Linked DNA regions of Ovis aries. The protein of the gene in region 1 interacts with the protein of each later gene in a pairwise test. Links are inferred from orthologs where the notes say so. Each region holds a gene or a part of one and is shown in the gene's direction. Other genes may lie near its edges. The genes, in order: CCDC184, PIN1 and PBLD.

What was found.
Region 2: the proteins of CCDC184 (region 1) and PIN1 interact in binary tests that used the Homo sapiens proteins (3 or more experiments, as listed by UniProt). The two-hybrid records come from large-scale screens. The link is inferred for Ovis aries from reciprocal best matches to the Homo sapiens genes CCDC184 and PIN1.
Region 3: the proteins of CCDC184 (region 1) and PBLD interact in binary tests that used the Homo sapiens proteins (3 or more experiments, as listed by UniProt). The two-hybrid records come from large-scale screens. The link is inferred for Ovis aries from reciprocal best matches to the Homo sapiens genes CCDC184 and PBLD.

Annotation. Positions count from the first base shown.
Region 1 is NC_056056.1:138,404,062-138,411,200, reverse strand, and holds CCDC184 (coiled-coil domain-containing protein 184), read left to right. Parts: upstream 1-3,055; 5' UTR 3,056-3,518; coding exon 3,519-4,106; 3' UTR 4,107-5,335; downstream 5,336-7,139.
Region 2 is NC_056058.1:12,283,249-12,290,387, forward strand, and holds the start of PIN1 (peptidyl-prolyl cis-trans isomerase NIMA-interacting 1), read left to right. Parts: upstream 1-2,635; 5' UTR 2,636-2,660; coding exon 2,661-2,718; intron 2,719-5,009; coding exon 5,010-5,222; intron 5,223-7,139. UniProt on the Homo sapiens protein: Peptidyl-prolyl cis/trans isomerase (PPIase) that binds to and isomerizes specific phosphorylated Ser/Thr-Pro (pSer/Thr-Pro) motifs.
Region 3 is NC_056078.1:23,944,208-23,950,114, reverse strand, and holds the end of PBLD (phenazine biosynthesis-like domain-containing protein), read left to right. Parts: intron 1-1,307; coding exon 1,308-1,396; intron 1,397-1,659; coding exon 1,660-1,838; intron 1,839-3,491; coding exon 3,492-3,554; intron 3,555-4,985; coding exon 4,986-5,098; 3' UTR 5,099-5,802; downstream 5,803-5,907.

The DNA of each region.
Region 1 (7,139 bases):
CACAAGGGTTATTGTTTTCTTGCTGTGTGTGAATACTCTAGTGATGTGGCCAGAGTACCCATTCAGCTTGGGGATGGACCCACTCAACAAACCCCAGGACCCTGACTTCCAGAGAGCTCAGTTCCGTAACCCAGCCAGCTGACTGAGGCTCTGCTCCACTCTCTGCATCTGCGCCTTGCTTTTCTGAGACTAGACCCTTCTCCTATTTCCCCTTAGGTCAACTCCCCACAGAATTCCTAAAATTATCTGGTTCTGAATCTGAGGCATCAATTGTCTCCTTGTATTTTCAAGTCCTGTGACTAGTCCACACCCCCAGATCCCACCTACCCTTGGCTCTCAAATATCTGACCTGGAACTTGACTGGATCAGCCACACCCTTGATCTCTGCACTGTTTCCCATGTTCTTTCATGCTTCTCCAATAATTTCCCCTCCCTCTAGGCTCAGACCCCCCGAACTCTCAGCAGACCTCATGCCAGCGGCTCTGGGCAGCATGATGTAATCTTATGCTGAAAGCCTTGACATATATGGCATCCTCAACAATAGTGGCAAAGGGCCTTGTATGATGGCATAACCCAGGTCCTACTGTATGGGGACTGTATTTAATGTAAGGTTAAGGCTAATGCGCAAGGCCCTGTATTGGGGACAGGGCTAGTCTTTGTAGGTAGAAAGCAAGGACCTCTCTGAAGAGTGAGGGAGCTAGCAAGGTGAAATCATCCATATGAAGTGCTGGTCAAGAGATGTGAGGCAACAGATCTAGGCAAAAATTTGAAAATCATGCCAGGTTTTTTTTTTTTTTTTTCTGACTATAGCAAAGGCCTCCAGGGAAAGATGAACAGCAGGGTTGGACCCTGGAGAAGGAAATGGCAACCCACTCCAGTATTCTTGCCTGGAGAATCCCATAGACAGAGGAACCTTGCAGGCTACAGTCTATGGGGTTGCAAAGAGTTGGACATGACTGAGCGACTAACACACATTCACAGGGTTGAACCCATAAGCCCTAAAAATATGCTTGCTAGAGTACGATCAGAAACTCATGCTGTGGAAGCTCAGTTGTTGTTTTTGTATGTCTTGTATATTTCTAGCTTTCCTACAGTTCCTTTTTGGTAAAGTCTGTTTTTGGGGATAACAGTGCACTTTGGCTGTGCTTAGGGAAACCAAGGAAAAGCATTTCTGTCTTCTTCTCAGCTTTAAGAATACCCTGAGGGGCACATGGTAGAGGTGGGGATGATAACCAAGGTGAGAGTCATAAGTTTGTGGAATGAAAGAAAGACAGAATGAGCAAGCAAATAAGATTGAATCATAGAAAATACAATATATAGAACATAAATAGGTTTTTAAAATTTGTTCATACATTTGTTTTGGAATATCAAAATTTTAAGGGTTATATAATACTTTATTATACTAACAATGCCTTAAACATTCTACTGTTTAGGATATTTGCCCGCTTCTTCTTATTTGTTAACTTATTTCTATTTTAATAGCAGTAAGACAAGGAATAAGTCGAAAAGTTCTTTAGTGCCAGCAAAGTTTCTCTGGGCCAGCCCCACCCCTCATCAGGAGAGTATGCAACAAGGGAAACCTCAAAGTAACGCATCAGCTATCACTGAACCACCAGTATACAAAACACTCACCCAAAACCAGCTCGTCCCCATCTTGAAGTGTTACATCATTTCTCTTCCCCACATTTATTTCTTCTTGTGAACTTCATTTGTGGTTTCTGATCACTTGGCTTCTCCAATTTATTAAGGTCATTATTAGTATGCTGCTGCCCAGGTACTGTTTGCTTTTCAATCTGAAGTCATCTGTAAATATATTAAATTCAACTTTTCTTCCTCCTCCTCCTTTCCCACTCCACTCCTCAAAAAGAGAAAGGAGTTGTCACAAAGGTTGAAACACTCACTGCATGTCTGTACCTGGACGCTGGGCCTGGGGACAGGGAAATTACCCTTACATAATCCCCCCACACCACCGGGCCTTCCCGCCATCCGTTCCACACGTTGTCGACAGTTTACCCTTTCAACTGGGAGCGGACGCAGTGTTCCTCAGAGTCAGAAATAATATTACCAAATATTATACAGTCCGATCCACTAACAGATGAGAAAAACGATTTATTCAAGGTCTCTGAACTAATAAATGGCCGAAACAAAATTGAATTCAGGCCTCCTAAAAGCCACTACCTGTGAGCTGGAGAGTTCTGGACAAGGGAATGGGACACAGTGGTCCTTGTTAAAGCATTCATTCAACAAATGTACTGAGCATTTACTTACTATGCGCCAGGTTCTATTTTAAGTGCTGGGGATTCCGTGCTGGAGGACACGGAGGAGACAAAAATCTCTATTCTTACGGAGCTTTCTTTCTCAAAACTGAAGCACTTTGCCTCACCGTCCTGAAAGAACCCCCAGTGCCCTGGGTAGGAGCGATTGGGTCTATTATGGGAGGGAATTCCATCTTTTCTCGGCTTCGATACCATCTTATCGACAGCGAGGGCTGATTTACTGCAGAAGCAGAAGGGAGTGACGGAAACCTCCGTAGTGCCCTCTTGCGCATCTGCACCGCGAAGGCCGGGCGGGGCCCGCTCTAGGGCGCCCGCGCATCCCAGCTCAAGTCTGGGTAATAGCATCGGCCTCTCTACCCTCTCTGCTTTCCTGCAGGAGGTTAGAGAAGCAGGACTCGGCTGTAACGCCATTCTCAGAGGAAGGAATGCGGGCAGGTGAAAATCCTTCCAAGGTAGTCTCGCTCGGTGACTACTACCCAGAGTAGAGGAGGGACGATGTCTCCCCGACCTGGGGATTTATGCAGCAAACTGCTCTCTCATGCTTCCCTATTAAACATTGCGGCCACACGTTCTTTCAGCCTCAGCTGAGGCCACTGCAGCGTCCCCTCCCCTCCCGCTCCAACCGCAAGCTCAGAATCCAGAGCCCCACTGCAGCTTCCCAGCTGTCCTCCCTTTTCTGCTCCACTTCCTGGTTGCCATGGAGACACACGTCTTTTACGTGCAGTGCGTCGCCTTGGAAACAGAGGAGCATCCGCGGCGCCGCTGGGAGACCCGCCCCTGTCACTTCCAACCACACTCGCGAGCGCTCCCAGTTAGCGGCCGAGGGGAGTCCCGAGGTCGACCCGCTGCTGGCCTCGGCCTCAACCTGGGCCCCTGTGCGAGCGCTCCTGTGACCCAGGGAACCGGCGGGCACTTGACGCTCTTGGCGCCCAGAGGGAGGCGCTGACACGGGTGCAATTCAGGAGTCGAGGCAGGGCAGGGCGCTTTCGCCCCGGGGCGAGCCGGAGAGACGCCGGCCCTGGGACTGTAGCCCGGTCCTTGTTCCGCCGTCTCTTCCCGGCCTCTCCAGATTCTGCCGGCACCCCCCGCCCGGGACTCACCTCTCCACCCCTGTCTGGAGCCTCCTCTTCCCTCGGCTCCTCCCACCCCCTCCGGGCACCTCTCCCCCTCCCCGTACCTTCCCCCACCCCGAGGCCGGGCTGGACCGGACCCCGAGCCGCCACCGCCCGCTTCTGCCATTCAATGGAGGAAGGTCTGCTGGAGATCATGACCAAGGACGGCGGCGATATGCCGGCCCCTCTCGAGGTGTCCACCGTGCCGGCCGTGGGGGACGTGATCTCCGGGGAGTACAACGGCGGCATGAAGGAACTGATGGAGCACCTGAAGGCCCAGCTGCAGGCCCTGTTTGAGGACGTGAGGGCCATGCGGGGGGCCCTGGACGAGCAGGCCTCGCACATCCAGGTGCTCTCGGACGACGTGTGCGCCAACCAGCGAGCCATCGTCTCCATGTGCCAGATTATGACCACCGCGCCCCGCCAGGGTGGCCTGGGCGTGGTCGGCAGCAAGGGGAACTTCCAGGGCGCTCGCCGAGATCCGGAGACCCCTTCGCCTGGGATCGGGGGCAGCGGTTTGCTGGGTCGCGATCCAGAGGACGAGGAGGACGACGATGAAGAAGAAAAGGAGATGCCCAGCTCCGCCACACCCACAAGTCACTGTGAGCGCCCGGAGAGCCCCTGTGCTGGCCTTCTGGGGGGGGACGGGCCACTTGTGGAGCCCCTCGATCTGCCCGACATTACCCTGCTGCAGCTGGAGGGCGAGGCCTCTCTGTGAGGGGACTCCGAGGGGGCACTACTTTCCCGGGCTGACTTTGGGTTTCCGAGTGCATGAGGGGACTGAACGGCGCGATGCAGCGCGTGCTTCACTCCGACCGCTGCTCTTGTGGGTCAGGCAGAAGAGACTTCCTTGAGGAAGCATTTACAGGGTGAAGGACTTTGGGAGCATCAAGAATTCTTTCTGCCTCACCAAGCAAGAAGTAGCAAACTGCGGAAAGGTGAGGTTCCGGGAGAGGAAGCGCCCACCTCTGGACTCCCATCCAATCCCCTACCCTGCCCTTTCCCCCGCCCCAGCCAACAGGAGAACCCCTGACTTGTGTAAATAAAATTCTGCTTTTTCTATTCTGAAAAAGGACTTATCTAGGACTATGGCAAAAAATCTCTAACGATTTACCTAGAAATTAAGGAATTGAGGGTATTCTGTTCTGGCAACAGAAAATTTACCCTTCTGATGAAATCCAAGCTATTCAGCGTTCTGCAGAAGCCTCTCCCCCTCACAGACCTCTGCGGCTGCTGATTGGTAAAAGAAGCTTGAGGAGGGAACTGCAGCCCTAGGAATCTGGGTGAATGGGGTTCCGAGGGCCCCTGGGCTGGGAGGAGCTGGCTCTGAATGTGCATGAAGACATTATAGCTCAACCTCTAGGATTTTGCATGCAGAGCGGATCTGCCTTGTCACTGACTTCATCTGGGATTGCTTTATCCACTCACTGGGGCTTAGAGAACAAAGAGCCCAGTTCACAGGCAGAGACTTGGGGGTGGTGCTCAGCAACAGCCCAGATTTAGGGGACATTTGAGGGACTCTTGGGGGCCACAGCCGAAAACTGTCTCTCTGCTGGCTATACCTGCTTAACTTCAGTTCCTTTTCCTGTCAATACTTCCCTGCCCGCTGACTCTCGGTGTTGCCTCCATAATGTCTTGTGTGCATTATGTGTGTTGACCTGTGTAGTAGTGTGTGAGCCCTGAGGGGCAGGGCTTGTGGCTCTGGTGTTAGGTTCAGGGGGCTTCAGACCTTCTGTGAGCCCCAGGCTCTCATGATGCTTTCCCCTCTCCTCTCTTTTCCCCCACAACCAGGGCATGAAGCATGTGGCTGTCCTGAGGTTCCTAACTGATATGCCTCCCTCCCACCTCCTCAAGTGGTGACTTTGTGTGCCCTTCCTCTTCCTCTGTGTATTCCTTCTCAATGCTTTCCTTGGTGTTAACCTTAATAAAGAGGCGTCATCTCCCCTCCTTGCTGACTGGTACTAGGGCAATGGCAGGGTGGGGCTTCTGGACCCACTGCATGGACACAGGCTTAGTGGGAACTACAGGGACCATGCCTTCCCTCCTCTCTTCTTGCCTCTGGTTCCAAGGAGTTGATTGTCCCTGCCCTGACTGGGGTATGCATTGCCATTTTTACCTGCTGTCACTTCCGCCCTGGACCTTGACCTCAAGCTGGACTGAGGAAGGAGAGGGTACATGTTGCGATTCCCAAACAAGGGTTTTTTAGTAGCCAGAACTCCAGATGTGCAGGAGACTTTTCAGTGGAGCACCTGGTTCGCAGGAGATGATTTCCAAAGTGGAGTCCTGAAATGGTAGGCAAGACACCTGTTTCATGGGAGGGGTAGGGAGGGGGCATTGTTCAGGAGGGATTGCCTGGGATCTCTGGCAGAGTGACACATCACAAAGGGAACCACAAAAACTGCCTCAGGCCTCTAGTGGAGAACTCCGGTAAGGTGTCCCCCCGGGAGCTTAGCCTGACATCAGCTCTAGTCTGCTCCCTTGGGCACTGGAGACTTCCTAAGGCTGCTTCAAACAAAATTTGGGAGAATAATGAGCTGGGGTGCTGTGTGTGTGTGTGTGTGTGTGTGTGTGTGTGTGTGTGTGTGTGTGTGTATGCTTGTACCTACAAATGTGTGTATGTATGCATGTAGATATGTGTATATATGTATGTGTGTTTCTGCAGCTGGTTGCTACAGAGATGTGGAAAGGGCACTGGCAATGAATCTCAGATCCAACAGTAAATGACTGCTTGAGACTTGGTTCCTTGCTTGAGACTCAGTTTCTGTCTGTGTAAAATGGGGACAAAAATTTTTGAGAAAGATAATAAGACATCTGAGAAATCTTATGCAAATGTTAGTTTTCTTATAGCTCTCTTGGGGTAGGGGGTGATGGTGTTGACTGGCTCCTCTGGGAAAACACAGTTATTTAGGGAAGGTTCTAGTTTAATATAATCCTTCCCTACCTAAAGAATTCTTATCATTCAGGGCAGTCAAGGGGATGATGAGATTCCCAAGCTTACATGGCCTTTCTTCATAAATATCCTGTAATTATGGGTCAAAAAGGTCTTAAAGCCAGCTTTTGTACACATAGGATGACCAGAGGATGGCTTGAGTTGTGCAGTGGTTAGGGAATATGTGCTGGGGCTTAGAGAGGGCAGCTAAAATATATTAGTGAGGAAGTGTCCCTGAGGGCTGGAAGATAGTTTTCTGTTACAGTTCCAGCATTCAGCACCAAAAACAATGATAGCCATCATATATTGAACACTTACTCTGTGCCAGACATTGTGCCCAATTTTATATCCCAATGACCATATGAAGTAGGCACTATTATTATTTTCACTTAACAGTTCTAGAAATAGACTCCAAGACTTAGTCAAGGTCATACAGCTAGTACTTTGCATAACCAGGACTTAAACCCAGATCTTCTGACTTAACCCTAGATGGGAACCCACTCCACTAATTGCTCTATTTCATCTTCAGAGAAAGGAATCCTTTATGTCCTCAGTCAAGAGTCTTAAGAGTCCTGAAAAGGAAGTAATGTTAGTTTCACTCAGTTTTCATCTTCTCAGTTGGAACAAGTAATTCCTGATCTGGTTTTGGTTAGTGACCTTTCAGAGTCTAGTGGGTGATAATACAATAATGGCACAGAGAAGATGGCCTTCTGCACATGCTTCTTTAGAGGAAGAAGCTGATGTTCCCAGATATTCCCTGACACAGCCCCATTCTTATGCCTCTTCCCTGTTGTCTGTAGCTTAGATTCTGCAGAGTACGAC
Region 2 (7,139 bases), on another chromosome or scaffold:
TGCCATATGTCCCCTGGGGAACAATATCACCCCTGGTTGACAACCTCTATTCTGTTATGTAAGATGCTAATATAAGGCATGGTTGGGTAAAGGACTTTGAGAACTATACTACTTTTGCAGTCCAGCCCTAAATCTAAAATTATCTTTAAAAAAAGATTATGATTATTATTATGCTAATACATGCTTGTTTAAAAAGTCAGAATGTTATAACTTAAGTTCCTCATTTCTTCCTTCACCTGCATCACCAACCAGTATTAGTTATTAACATATTTGGATAAATCCAGAAATTTTCAGTGATATACAACTATTTTTATACAGTTTGAGTTAATTATAATACTCTGATAATATACAAAGTTAATTTTTGTTGATCTTTTTGGTTTTATTATGCTTTCTTTTTTTTAATATATATTTGTTTGGCTGCACTGGGTCTTTGTTGTTGTATGTAGGATCTAGTTCCCTGACCAGGGATTGAACCTAGGCCTCCTACTTAGGGAGTACAAAGGCTTAGCCACTGGACCACCAGGGAAGTCTCTTATTATGCTTTCATACATACTATAATTGCTATGCTGTACTATGTTTTGGTTTTTTTTTTTTTTTTCACCCAGCAATACCTACCCTTGCTATGGACCAGACACTGTTTTTGAATGCTTTCTATAGATGAACTCATTTAATCTTTGCATCAAGGATATTCATGAGACATGTTTTTTCCTCTCATTTTGCAGATGGAGAAGCTGAAGTACAGAGGTTAAGTAATTTGTTAAGGTCACAGCAAGTGGTAGAGCCAGGCTTTGAACTCAAAGCAATCTGGTTCCTGAGTGCTTTTAACTCTCAGCTGCATCCTGCCTCTAATTTGTCCTAGACATGTTTCCCTGTGTTTCATGTCACTGTGCCTCATTCTTTTTAACAGTTACATAAGGTTGTATGCTATATTGTTCAGTTGTTAAGTCGTGTCCGACTCTTTGCAATCCCATGGACTGCAGCACACCAGGGTTCCCTGTCCTTCACCATCTCCTGGAGTTTGTTTAAACTCATGTCCATGGAGCCAGTGATGCCATCCCACCATCTCATCTTCTGTCACCTTCTTCTTCTGCCCTCAATCTTTCCCACCATCAGGGTCTTTCCCAATGAGTTGGCTCTTCACATCAGGTGGTCAAAGTGATGGCATCAGGTGGAACTTCACTTCAGCATCAGTCCTTCCAGTGAATATTCAGGACTGATTTCCTTTAGGATGGACTGGTTGGATCTCCTTGCAATCCAAGGGACTCTTGAGTCTTCCCCAGAACCACAATTCAAAAGCATCAGTTCTTTGGCGCTCAGCCTTCCTTATTGTCCAACTCTCAACGTCCATACATGACTACTGGAGAAACTGTAGCTTTGACTATACAGACCTTTGTCGGCTTAGTGATGTCTCTGCTTTTTAATACCCTGTCTAGGTTTGTCATAGCTTTCCTTTCAAGGAGCAAGTGTCTTAATTTCATCACTGCACTCACCATCCACAGTGATTTTGGAGCCCTGGAAAATAAAATCTGTCACCGTTTCCACTTTCCCCTTATCTATTTGCCATGAAGTGATGGGGCCAGATGCCATGATCTTAGTTTTTTTAATGTTGCATTTTAAACTAGCTTTTTCACTCTCCTCCTCCTATAGATGAACTTTAGTTGAACTCTTCCCTGTTGGTGTCCCGATTCCCACGTAAATCTACAGCCCTAGGTCTCCAACCACCTCTTCAATGTCCGTTTAGTGCCACAGCCTTCATTTTAAATTGACTTATTCAACTGATATTTCAATAAAAAATAAATTTTAAAAGCAACTTGATTCAAACTGAGCTATTATCCTCCCACCCGCGCTTCCACCCACTGATTTCCACCCACAAAGCCACCGTGTCCTCATCCGAATGGCAATGCCAACACCCACGAGTCACCCAGGACAGAGGCAGAAGCCAAACTGGGAGGGAATTAGTAAAGTAAAGTAGATTTCAAAGGAAATGGAAGGTGTTTGGGTCAGTAAAATAGGGAGTTTTGCACAAAAAATTAAAAGGAGGTGGGCTAGCTTTGGACATCTTGGGCAAACAAGTGGGACGAGGGAGAACGGAGGAGCCAAATATAGGCTTCTGGATTCTTAGCTGTTCATCACCAAGGTAACTGCGTTGCTATGGCAACAGCAAAGGCAGCACCGCCTTTTTCAAGAACTTCCTTCGCTGCGGTTACCTCCACACAGGCCAGACACTTCCGCCTGGGAGGCTTCAGCCCGCGGGCTATGGTTTAGGAAGGCGGGAATTGCTACAGTAGTAGCCAATCGGATGGGCTCTGTGGCGAAGGACGCAAAGGAGGGGTCGGAACTTTTGGAAGCTCAGCAGAGGGCGTTGATAAGGCGAGTTCGCGTCCCTTTCCCACCATTTAGCGGCCGAGGAAAGGAAGAGGGCGGGACCTGGGTGAGGCCGACCGGGGCGGGGCCCAGATTAATGGTGGGAGGCTCCGCCCACCCCCGCCTTTGCTCAATAGGAAGCCAGAGAGTCAGTCCGGACAGTTAGGGTGCCCAATGAGTGCTGTCGCCAAGACCCCGTGCGGGGCGGGCTCAGCCAATCGGCAGCAGCGATGGGCGGACGCGGGCGGCAGAGGCGGTGCGGCGGAGGCGGAGCGGCCTCTGCGGCAGGAGGGAAGATGGCGGACGAGGAGAAGCTGCCGCCCGGCTGGGAGAAGCGTATGAGCCGCAGCTCAGGTGCCGCGGGGGTCGGGGCTGGGACGGGGCCGCGAGGGCCCGCAGAAGCAGGGCTCGAGCTTGTCCCTCGAGCGCGGCAGCGCCGCTCGGTTCCCGTGGGGTCCTGGCTCCTCCGCGTCGTCCCCGGGTAACGGCCCCGGCCCACCCTGTTGGGGCTGCGAGCCTGAGGAGAGGGGAATCCCGAGGAAACTGAGGCAAGGGGCGTGGCCGGGGAGTTCCAGGGTGCTCCCGGGGTGGCAGGGGGATGGTGATCCCGCGGCACTCCCTCAGGCGATGGCCCTGGCCCTGCCGATCTGACTGACATTTTCGTTCGGCCTAATGCACCAGAAGTCCTGAGGGAACGTCTGTGCAACCCGCTGGTCCCAGGGTGGGGACCCCTTGGGGAGGACACCCCAACATCATGCTCAGGGCGGGGCCCTATAGGGTGTTGTTCGGCCTCGGATATACAACCTCCTTCTGCTAATACGCTCGCTACCATCCACACCATATTCTGAGTTTGCGATATCCGGCCGGTGGTATTCTGCCTGAGAACTGCCCTTGTGCTCCGGAACCCGACTTAAGACTTTTCCCCAATAATAATGTCAAGAATAGGGAACGTTTATCTCAGGACCAAGCATAGTTCCAAGCATTTTGGGTGTTTGCTTTCTCTAAATGGTCATAATTTTGGGAGAGAGGTAATTGTTACCCCCGTTTTGCAGATCGGGAAACTTGAGGCCAGAAAACGCAAGGAACCCGCCCAAGGTCATTGATTTCAGGGGGTGGGGGTTGGGTTCGGACCCAGTCATTCTGACTCCAGAGCCCCCTACCCTTCTTGCTGCAAACTACCAAGATGCAGGTTCCAGTATTTCACACTTCTTTCTCCATAGAGCCTAGCAGTCATTGTCGCAGTAATAATTTGATTTTTTGAACATCAGGAGCACTTTGCATACAGCACCATCCACTCTCCACATTAACCCTCTGGAGGTTTGATGTCCTTATTCTCTCATCCCCACTTTTCAAATGAGAAAACTGAGGTTCAGGGAGATGGAACCCATTGCCAGTGTTTTTGAGGCAGTCAGTGGCTCAGCTCTCACCAACCCCCACCCCACCCTGCAGCCTTGACCCATGGATGTGACCTACAATGTAAAGCCAATGCTCTGCCAAATTTGGGGCTCCCACTCCAGCCATTTCAACCCAGTTCAATCCTGACAGTGTTCCCTGAGGGTGACATCCAGCCCTTCACGGTGTTTGGACAAGTCCTCCGTGTAACCCCGGGCAGACTCTGCTCCAGGAATGACACCCTATCTCTACTGGGTCCTACTTCAAGCTTCTTGTTGGCAGCCCTCACTCCATGCTCTTTAGTCTGGATAACATCTGACCCCAGTAATGCTGGACCCCAGTTCTGTAACTGGGTAGGGGAAAAGGACAAAGCTTTTGTGTGTGACACACATGGGTACAGTTTATGCAGCAGAATAAACACCCATTGCTTTGTTTTGGAGGCACTAGTAGCTGACCAGATGCCTCACAGTAACATGTGCATGCTCAAGTCGTGTCCTACTCTTTGTGACCCCATGGACTATCCCACCAGGCTCCTCTGTCCATGGGATTTCCCAGGCAAGAATACTGGAGTGAGTTGCCATTTCCTCTTCCAGAGTATCATCAAACCCAAGATTTTTTTGCTTCCTGCATTAGCAGGCAGATTCTTTACCTCTGTGCCACCTGGGAAGCCCACGGTTTGACCAGAGATGTATTAGTATGTTTTTTGTTACCCAAATGTTACTGACTGGAGTGTCTCAACATTCATTTATAATCGCCAGCCACAGGCGTTAGTTTTTGCAAAAATCCCCCAGTCGATAATGTGTTAATATATGTCAAGTGCTGTCCTAAACTCGTTACAGATGTGAACTCATACAGTCCTTCCAAAAACCATTCAGGCAAGTACTGTTGTTATTTCCATTTTACAAGTGAGAAAACTGAGGCCCGGAGAAGGGAGTCATACAGGGAGTGAGTGGCAGATTTGAACAGGGAGTCTGGCTGCTGAGTGCATGCTTTGAACCTCTCTTCCTCATCTTGGATTATTTTCCCCCCTTGAAGTTGTTAATGACCAAAGTTATTATGTGGTCGTACTTGCTTGTTTATTGTCTGTCTGCCTCCCACCTAGAGGGTTAGCTCCCTAAGTCCTGGTGACACTGGTGGACAGCAGTGGGCTGGCTGAATGAAGGCATCTTGTTGGCCAGTTCCATATCATGGCTTGATGGTGGTATGCACTGAGCAGGTCCCAGCTGAATTCTGTACCCCACCCCCCCTTCTAGGCCGGGTGTACTACTTCAATCACATCACTAATGCCAGCCAGTGGGAGCGGCCAAGTGGCAACAGCAGTGGCAGCGGCAAAAATGGACAAGGGGAGCCCACCAGGGTCCGCTGCTCACACCTGCTGGTCAAGCACAGCCAGTCACGGCGACCCTCGTCCTGGCGGCAGGAGAAGATCACCCGAACCAAGGAGGAGGCCCTGGAGCTGATCAATGGTGAGCTGGGGTTGGAGACCAGGCCTGGGGGAAGGGGGCAGTCCCTCTCCCCAAGGGCAGTGCAAGCTTTACAGAAATCACATGAGATGCTCCACCCCAGCCAGCTTAGCTGTCAGCTGTGGCCTTGGCCGACCTATAAGTGCCTGTTGGTGGCATGAGCCTGGCTTCCATGGCTGCCTCTCATTTTCCTCCCCAGCTGGTGTGTGAGAGTGGGCCAAGGTTGGTGGAGAGGACCCAGCCTTATGGCAGCCAGACCTGGGTTCACATGGTCACTATGCCCCTAGGAGCTCCTTGACCCTGAGAGATTCACGTCACTTCCTTGAGACTCGGTTTTCACCTCTGTCAAATGGACGTCGTCATCTCCTTGCCTTCATGGGCCATTGTGAAAGCTCAGTGAGATGAAATGGTGTAATGGGTGGCACACAGTTGTCACTGTGTGGGTCGTCATTCAGTGGGAGCTATCCTGGAGAGTAGTGTCATCAAGCAGGGTCCTGGGGCACGTATGTGGATGGGTCAGGAGGGAGGTTGGAAAGGTAGCAGTGTTAGAACTAGACAACAGAGTCAGTGAATTAATTTGGCTCTGAGCAGGCTGTTCGTCGCTAAGTTCTGTGTTTGCTCCGCAGTCTAGAGCAGCAGTTGGTAGGCAGACTTTTTCTTGAAAGGCCAGATGGTAAATAGTTTAGGTTTTGTGGGCTGTACAGTCTCTGTCAGTTCTGCTTGGCAACTCCATAGCAGCTGCAGGTGATGTGTAAACAAATGGGCGTGGTCATGTGTCAATAAAACTTTATTTACAGAAACAGCAGGATTTGACCCCAGGGCTGTAGTCCTCAGCCTCCTGGTCTAGAGCTATCTAGTGTGGCCGCTTCTATCTACATGTGGTTATTTTCATGTAAATTAGTTCAGTTTAAGTCATATTAAAGATTGGTTCCTCAGTCACACCAGCTACACTGTTCAGTAGTCCCACTTGGTTATAGGCTGCCATTTTGGACAGCACAACTGGAGAATATTTCCATCCTTGCAGGAAGTTCTGTTGGACAGTGCTGGTCTGGATCACAAGTGTGGTTTCATCATCCACGCAGCCTCTCTCACCAGAGATCCCAGACACCTCCCAGGCCCTCCAACCCCACAGAACCAGTGCCTCACCCCTGCCCAAACAGCCTGAGTGCCTATCCAGTTCTACCAGGTCCTGGCTGTGTGACCTTGAGCAAGCTACTTAACATCTCAGCCTCAGTCTTTTAACTTACAAAGTTAGTGTTAAGATAATAGGACCCACCACATAGGGTGAAGAAAAAAAATTGTTAGTCGCTCAGTTGTGTCCGACTCTTTGTGACCCCGTGGTCTGTAGCCCACCAGGCTCCTCTGTCCATGGATTTCTCCAGGCAGTAATACTGGAGTGGGTTGCCGTTTCCTTCTCCAGGGGATCTTCCTGACCCAGGGATCGAACCCAGGTCTCGTGCGTTGCAGGCAGATTCTTTATCTTCTGGTCACCAGGGAAGCACTAGTGCAGCAAAGCACGAGTAACAGCCCTTGGCCTCTAGTAAGTGTTCTGTAATCGCTGGTGGCCATTATGATGGTGGTTATTAGCACAGGCCTGGCATGGTTAGTCCGTATTAGCTGTTGTTTTGTGCCACATAACTTGCCTGTGGGATATTACTGACACACACCTACTCCCATACCTGTTCACCCCACACAGTCCCCAGCATGATAAGTGGCACCTGTTAGCCACCCACCTCTCAGCCTTGTAGAGTGGAGCCAAGTTTTTGCACAGAATCTTGAAGGCAGATTTAAAGAGCTTCCTTGGACTTCCTTGATGGTCCAGTGGTTAAGAATTCACCTTCTAGTGCGGGAGAGGCGAGTTCCAACCCTGGTCAGGGAATTTAGGTCCTATATGCCTTGAGGCAACTTAATCTGCATGCC
Region 3 (5,907 bases), on another chromosome or scaffold:
TGCCTGCCAGTGCAGGAGACACAGGAGATAAGGGCTCGATTCCTGGGCTGAGAAGATCCCCATGGAGTAGGAAATGGCAACCCACTCCAATATTCTTGACTGGGAAATCCCGTGGACAGAGGAGCCTGACGGGCTGCATTCTTTGAGGTCGCAGAGTTGGGTACAGCTGAGCATGCATGCATTGTCATTTTGTGTTCCTAGAAACTGGCAATAAGATTCTCAGTTGAGAATTAAACTTTCAAATGGACATAAGAATCCATGCAGAGAAGGGTTGGATGACCCTTCAGAGAGATTGGGAGGCCCAGAGAACAGATGGGATTGGGCTGTAGGAGTTCCCATATCTAGAAGGGAGACATTGGTCAGCAGTGGTCACAGAGGCAGACCTTCCAGGCACTACCCACAGCAGCGTCTTGGCCATGGAACCTAGAGCTTCTCAGCCCCTAAAGAAGATTAGAGAACTTAAAACCACCTAGTGACAATCAGACAACTACCACGTAACTCTAGTCTGTTCTGGCGGCAGCTAGTTGTGGTGCCTAAGGATGACTTGGAGGTGTTTTTGTCCCCTCACAACCTCCCTCAGCACTGCAAACCAATAAACAAACAAACATACTATGTCTCAGGTGTGAGCATGGTTATATGCAGTCTTCGGTAAAGGGTGAACCAGGGTGTCTTTGGACAATGTTACTATGTTCTTGATCTGTAGTGTACAGTCTAAGTGAAAACAGCAAGCTTGCCAAGCAGAGCAGCATTGATACGAGTGCCCTAGTCCCCACTTCCAATCATACTGCTGGCCCCGAGTCCTTCTTGTGTAGAATCATCCAGTTACCACTGTAGCTACAGGAACTCTGCATGTTATTTCATTTAATCCTCTAAGAAGCAGGCATAAAGCCCCCACCTCTACAGATGGTAGACAGTAGTGATTCAGAGCTTTGACTTCAGGGCTCCTCAGTCCTGGGTCAAAGTGTATGTATGTGAGAGAGATATTCTGGGCCTCCCTGAATCTTTTTATCTGTGGGGAAAATACCCAATTGAAGGAGTTGTGTGTCGAGTCTCATAGTGACATGTATGAACAAGGCCTCTCTTTGGCTCTCAGAGGCTAAACTCAACCCCTATTAAGGTCCAAGTGTTCCTGAACACCAGGAAATTGGCCTTCTTTGAGAAATACCTTGAATCCTAAAACTGACCTGAAACTCTTGGGACTGGAGATGTTGGGTGTGCCTGGCACAAAGCAGATGTTTGTGAGAGATCGTTCTCCAAGGACTTGACCCAAGATGCACTTCTGAGGAAGTTTTGGTCTGTCTCCATAGACTGCCATTGGTGACACGCTGGTTCAGGATGTTTGCTATTCCCCAGATACCAAAAAGCTCCTGGTCCGGCTCAGTGATACTTACAACAGGTAAATGAGATTTTTGACTTCGTCAGTACTGTGGGGGAGGGCACCAGATTCATAGCTCTGGCTTGATCTGGCTGTGCCATGTTCAGCTGAACCATGATCTACACAGCCAGAGTGATCTGTTCCTGTGCAGGAAGGTTGTAGTTGCTCTTCCTCACTTACTGCTGAGCCATTGAACAAGCTGTAGCCTGGCCTGCTTTACGGAGTCTGGGGAATGGGTAGTCTGTGGAATGGGTTTGTCCTAATCCATCCTGTTTATGAACAAGGTCATTTCTGGAGAGCCTAACAGTGAACACAGAGAATTTGCTGCAAGTGGAAACCACAGGGAAGGTGAAAGGACTCATTCTCACCCTCAAGGGAGAGCCTGGTGGGCAGACTCAAGCATTTGACTTTTACTCCAGATATTTTGCTCCATGGTACGGTGTGGCTGAAGACCCCGTAACAGGTACTTTTTGCCTTGAATCCTGAGGAAAGCTAAACAGTTGAGGAGGAGGAGAACTGTTTAAGTGCCCTCCACAATGAGCTTTCAGGTTGTTTGGGTTTTGAGTTGCCTTTGTTTCCCTATCTCCCTTCCCCATCCCTTCACTGAAGTCTCTTGTAAAAAACACAGTGTTAATGAGGCAGTATATAGCAAGGTTTAATTTTAGCATCAGACAGGCTGGCTTTGCGTCCTAGCTTCCTAGCTGTTGACCTTGGGTAAATGACTTAACTTTTCACAGCTTTTGTTCCCTCTCTATAAAATATGGATAATACCTTATAGGCTATGTAAACACGATGCATGTTAAACACAGAACATAATGAGCACAGTACATGGTTAGTGCCCAATAGCTGTTAGGTATTTTAATAACTAACAATAAAACTGGCTCCTTGAGCCAACACTTCTAGAGCTACCTGTTGCAAAATCCAGTGGCCAATGTCTACTATATTCCCAAAGTCCTTTGTCCTTTTCATTGGCCAGCCTGTGTGATAATTGACTGATTTGGGTTTTGAAGGACCAAGTCCTGGACTGCAGGTGGGAAACAGGGACAGGAATAGTGTTTTTCTTCCTCCCCTCGTCCTTTGCCAGACCTGCTCACTCAGTGAGTGGAATGGGTTCAGGAACGTAGGAATTTAGGATCTTCCATAAGCCAGAAGCAGAGAGTTGAAATAAAAAGTCGGCAAGAATGTGATGCTTCCTACTTTCATCCTCCTTAATAAAAGTGGGCTGAGCAGTGAAAGGTGTGGAATGCTTTTTGGAGGAAGCTGATGGATAAGAAGTTATGAGTGGATTTACACATGCTTGGCTGCTTCCCAAAGATTTTAATTTTCATGGAGGGAAGGTTTTTTCCCCCCTGGAATCATGCTTTTCTAGAGTGGGAAAGCTCTTTGGACAGTGATGGCCAACAGTCTCGGTTTGCTTGAGACTGAAGGACTTCTCAGAGTAGGGATCTTCAGTGATGAAACCAGGACAGCCTCAGGCATACTGGGATGCCTGGGCACCCTGTCCCATAGTATTTAGTACATTTTTCTGAAGGAGAAACCTTTTTCAAACCATCTTTTCCTCTCCCAAATACTTTCCTATCAGTTGTTACTTAGCAGTTTGTTTCTTCTTTTTAGTATTTATTCTCTGATCTACACCTAGGGCACAATCATGTGAAAAAGTATCTCACTAAAACAAAGCTCTTTTGGCACCAAAAAACTGGGAACGTTGGCTTCATGGAAATTTTGGTCTTTTGTCAGAGTTCCCACCCTTCCTTGCATGTGCGTCTTAGGAGGAAGGATATGTTTTTCCTTGATAGATGTAGACAGATTTATACGAAAGCCTTAATTCTCCTGCCATGGACTGACAAGGAATTGACAAGAATTAAAGCCTGCAGTTTAATTCAGCCTTCAGAAAGTGTAAGATGCAGCAGATATGTCTTTTGAAGAAGCTTATCCATAAATTCTATGTCTTCCTTTCTATTTCCATTCATAATTCCACACTTTGCTGAAGTCATGGCCAACATAATGACTAAGTTGTCTAAGGTTCAGTCAAACTGGATAGTTGATCCTTTATGAATTTAGCAGAGTTGCTCCCGTTTTCTTTGGGATTGTAACATAGCTTTTCACTTCTTTTAAGGGTCTGCACATACTGTTCTCAGTAGCTACTGGTCTGAGCAACTGGGGAAGAAAGACTTGCACGGTAGGACAGTTCTTTTTCAAATTAAAAAAAAAAAACCTGCTAAACTTTAAGCTAGTATTCCTTCTTATATATACTATCCACCTGAAGATGTAATAAAATGTTAACTATCAAAAAAAAAAGTTAACTATTACCCACATGAAAACTAAAGGTTTTGAATTCCTTCACCCTGAATCTTCTGCTCAACATCCTCCACCCCAAACATCTTCCACCTCTGTTTCTCCCAAAGCACAGACACACTTCTAATACAGTTAAGTGCCAAGTAAGTATTTGCTGAATAAAGTTAACTAGCTGTGTAATTTTGGCCCAGAAAGGTTCTTTATAAGGTGATGAGTTGAGATTGGATGATTACCAGGGTCCCATTATGGGATTAAATAAAACAAATTGCCTTGGAACCAAGTCTCCTAGTGATTAATATATTGCTCAGGACAGAGAAATAGATGGTAGCCAGTGGAGGTTACACAGCTAGTACCACATGCAGAACAGGCTACACAATCAAAGTAGAATTTTGACCTTAGTGGACAGAAGTTCTTACTTAGTGGGATGGTTAAGCATCTGTGACCCTGATTTGGGAATAGCAGGGTGGCTGTTCTCTTTCCATTGTGAGCCTAATTATTTCCCTAAACTCAAGAAACCTGAGGCTGTACTTCACGTTTGCTTGACAAGTGTGGTTGCTTGCTATCCACAATGAATAGGGAACTCCTTTTGTCCTTTCCAGACCTCAAAAGACCAAAGACGAAAGATGGGGCCTTCTCTGAAGGGCCCAAGAGCACCCCCTCTTTATCTTTTTAGCTTTTTAGTCCTAGGCTCTATCTTTTCACTTGTGCTTGCTTACTCCTAGACCTAGATGGAGCCAGGGAGGAAGCTACATTTAGGGTGTGTCTGGGGCATTACAGGAAGTAGTAGAGGAAGTAGCTCAGGAAGGGAAGATGTAGAGCTGTGTGCTTTGTGTATCAAATTGCGTTTGTGGCCTCAGTCCTCAGGAGAATCGGGTGGGCTAGGCAATATTATGAACAGATGAAGGAATGCATTCTTTAAAAAATTAGTTAATAAGTTTTTATTGAGAACGTTAATTTATTACATTAAATAAGTTTCTCATGTACATTGTATTTCTGCTTCTATACATCCTACAGTGTGCTCACTATCAAAAATTTATTTTCTATCCTTCACCATGCAGTTGATCTCCTTTATGCATTTTGATCCCTCCCATATCACTCTGCCCCTCCCCTTCTGGTAACCACTCTCTGTTCTCTGTGTCTATGTGTTTGTGTTTGGTTTGTTCATTTATTTTGTTTTCATTTGTTTGAAAGAATGTATTCTTTAAATTGACCTGGGAGGATTGTAGAGCTCGTAATAATCAGTCTTTCACTATGTCTTATTAATTAAAGGGGTGAAAATGATCTTGATTTGTGACTTGTTTTATGTTTTCTTTAGCCTTTCAGTGTTCCAACCGAGGAGGAGAACTGATAATTTCCCTGCGTTCTGATGGACGAGTTGACATCAAGGGAGGCACGGCTCTTGTTTTAGAGGGCACTCTGATGGCCTAGACTGCTTGCACTGCGGTGACACAGTCTTGAATTACTGAGTATTTTCTGCATAAAAAGAAATGTAAGAGACTGCTTTGAATAAGATTGCATTGTAGTTCACTTAATCCTCACCTGAGAAATAGAACAATGAAGACATATTAATGGGGATTTAATAATGCTTCCTGATGAATTAACTAAAGGAGTTTTGGTTCTACCTGTGAACATATTCGAAGTAACCCATATCAAAGAATAATGTTGTCACCTTTAATTGTGACCACCAATCACAGAATGAGGAACACATTTATGAAGAGTAAGATTAAATCATTTAAACTCAGATGTGAGTACCTGATAGACTGTTTTGCAGCCATCAAAAAGACCCAATAGCTATGTGGAAATATAGAAAAATAGTTCGTAGTATAATACTAAGAAAGAAAATTATAGTAGACTATTAAATGTTAGCAATGTTATGCTATGTCTGTGGAGAATAGGAATTTATATGGACAAGAATGGATCATGAAGATAGAAAAGTAAGAGTTTATGTGTGAATGGTAAGGTTGGAGTAATTTTAATGTACCTAAAAAATTATTTCCTTTATTGGAATGTGCTTACGTTTAATACCTAAAAATCAAGACGTGTAGCTAAATAACTAAATGCCCAGAAATTTTTTAAATGAGTGACAATGAGTGATAGAGTGATAATAAAATTAAACATGGAAAGTAATGTGATATCCTGCCTCTTTCCAAGTTCTTTTCAGGGTGGAAATCTCCCTTACTGTCACGCCTATGTATTCTGCAAGTTAGGTGCCCAGCTGGTATCTGAATTCTCACCCT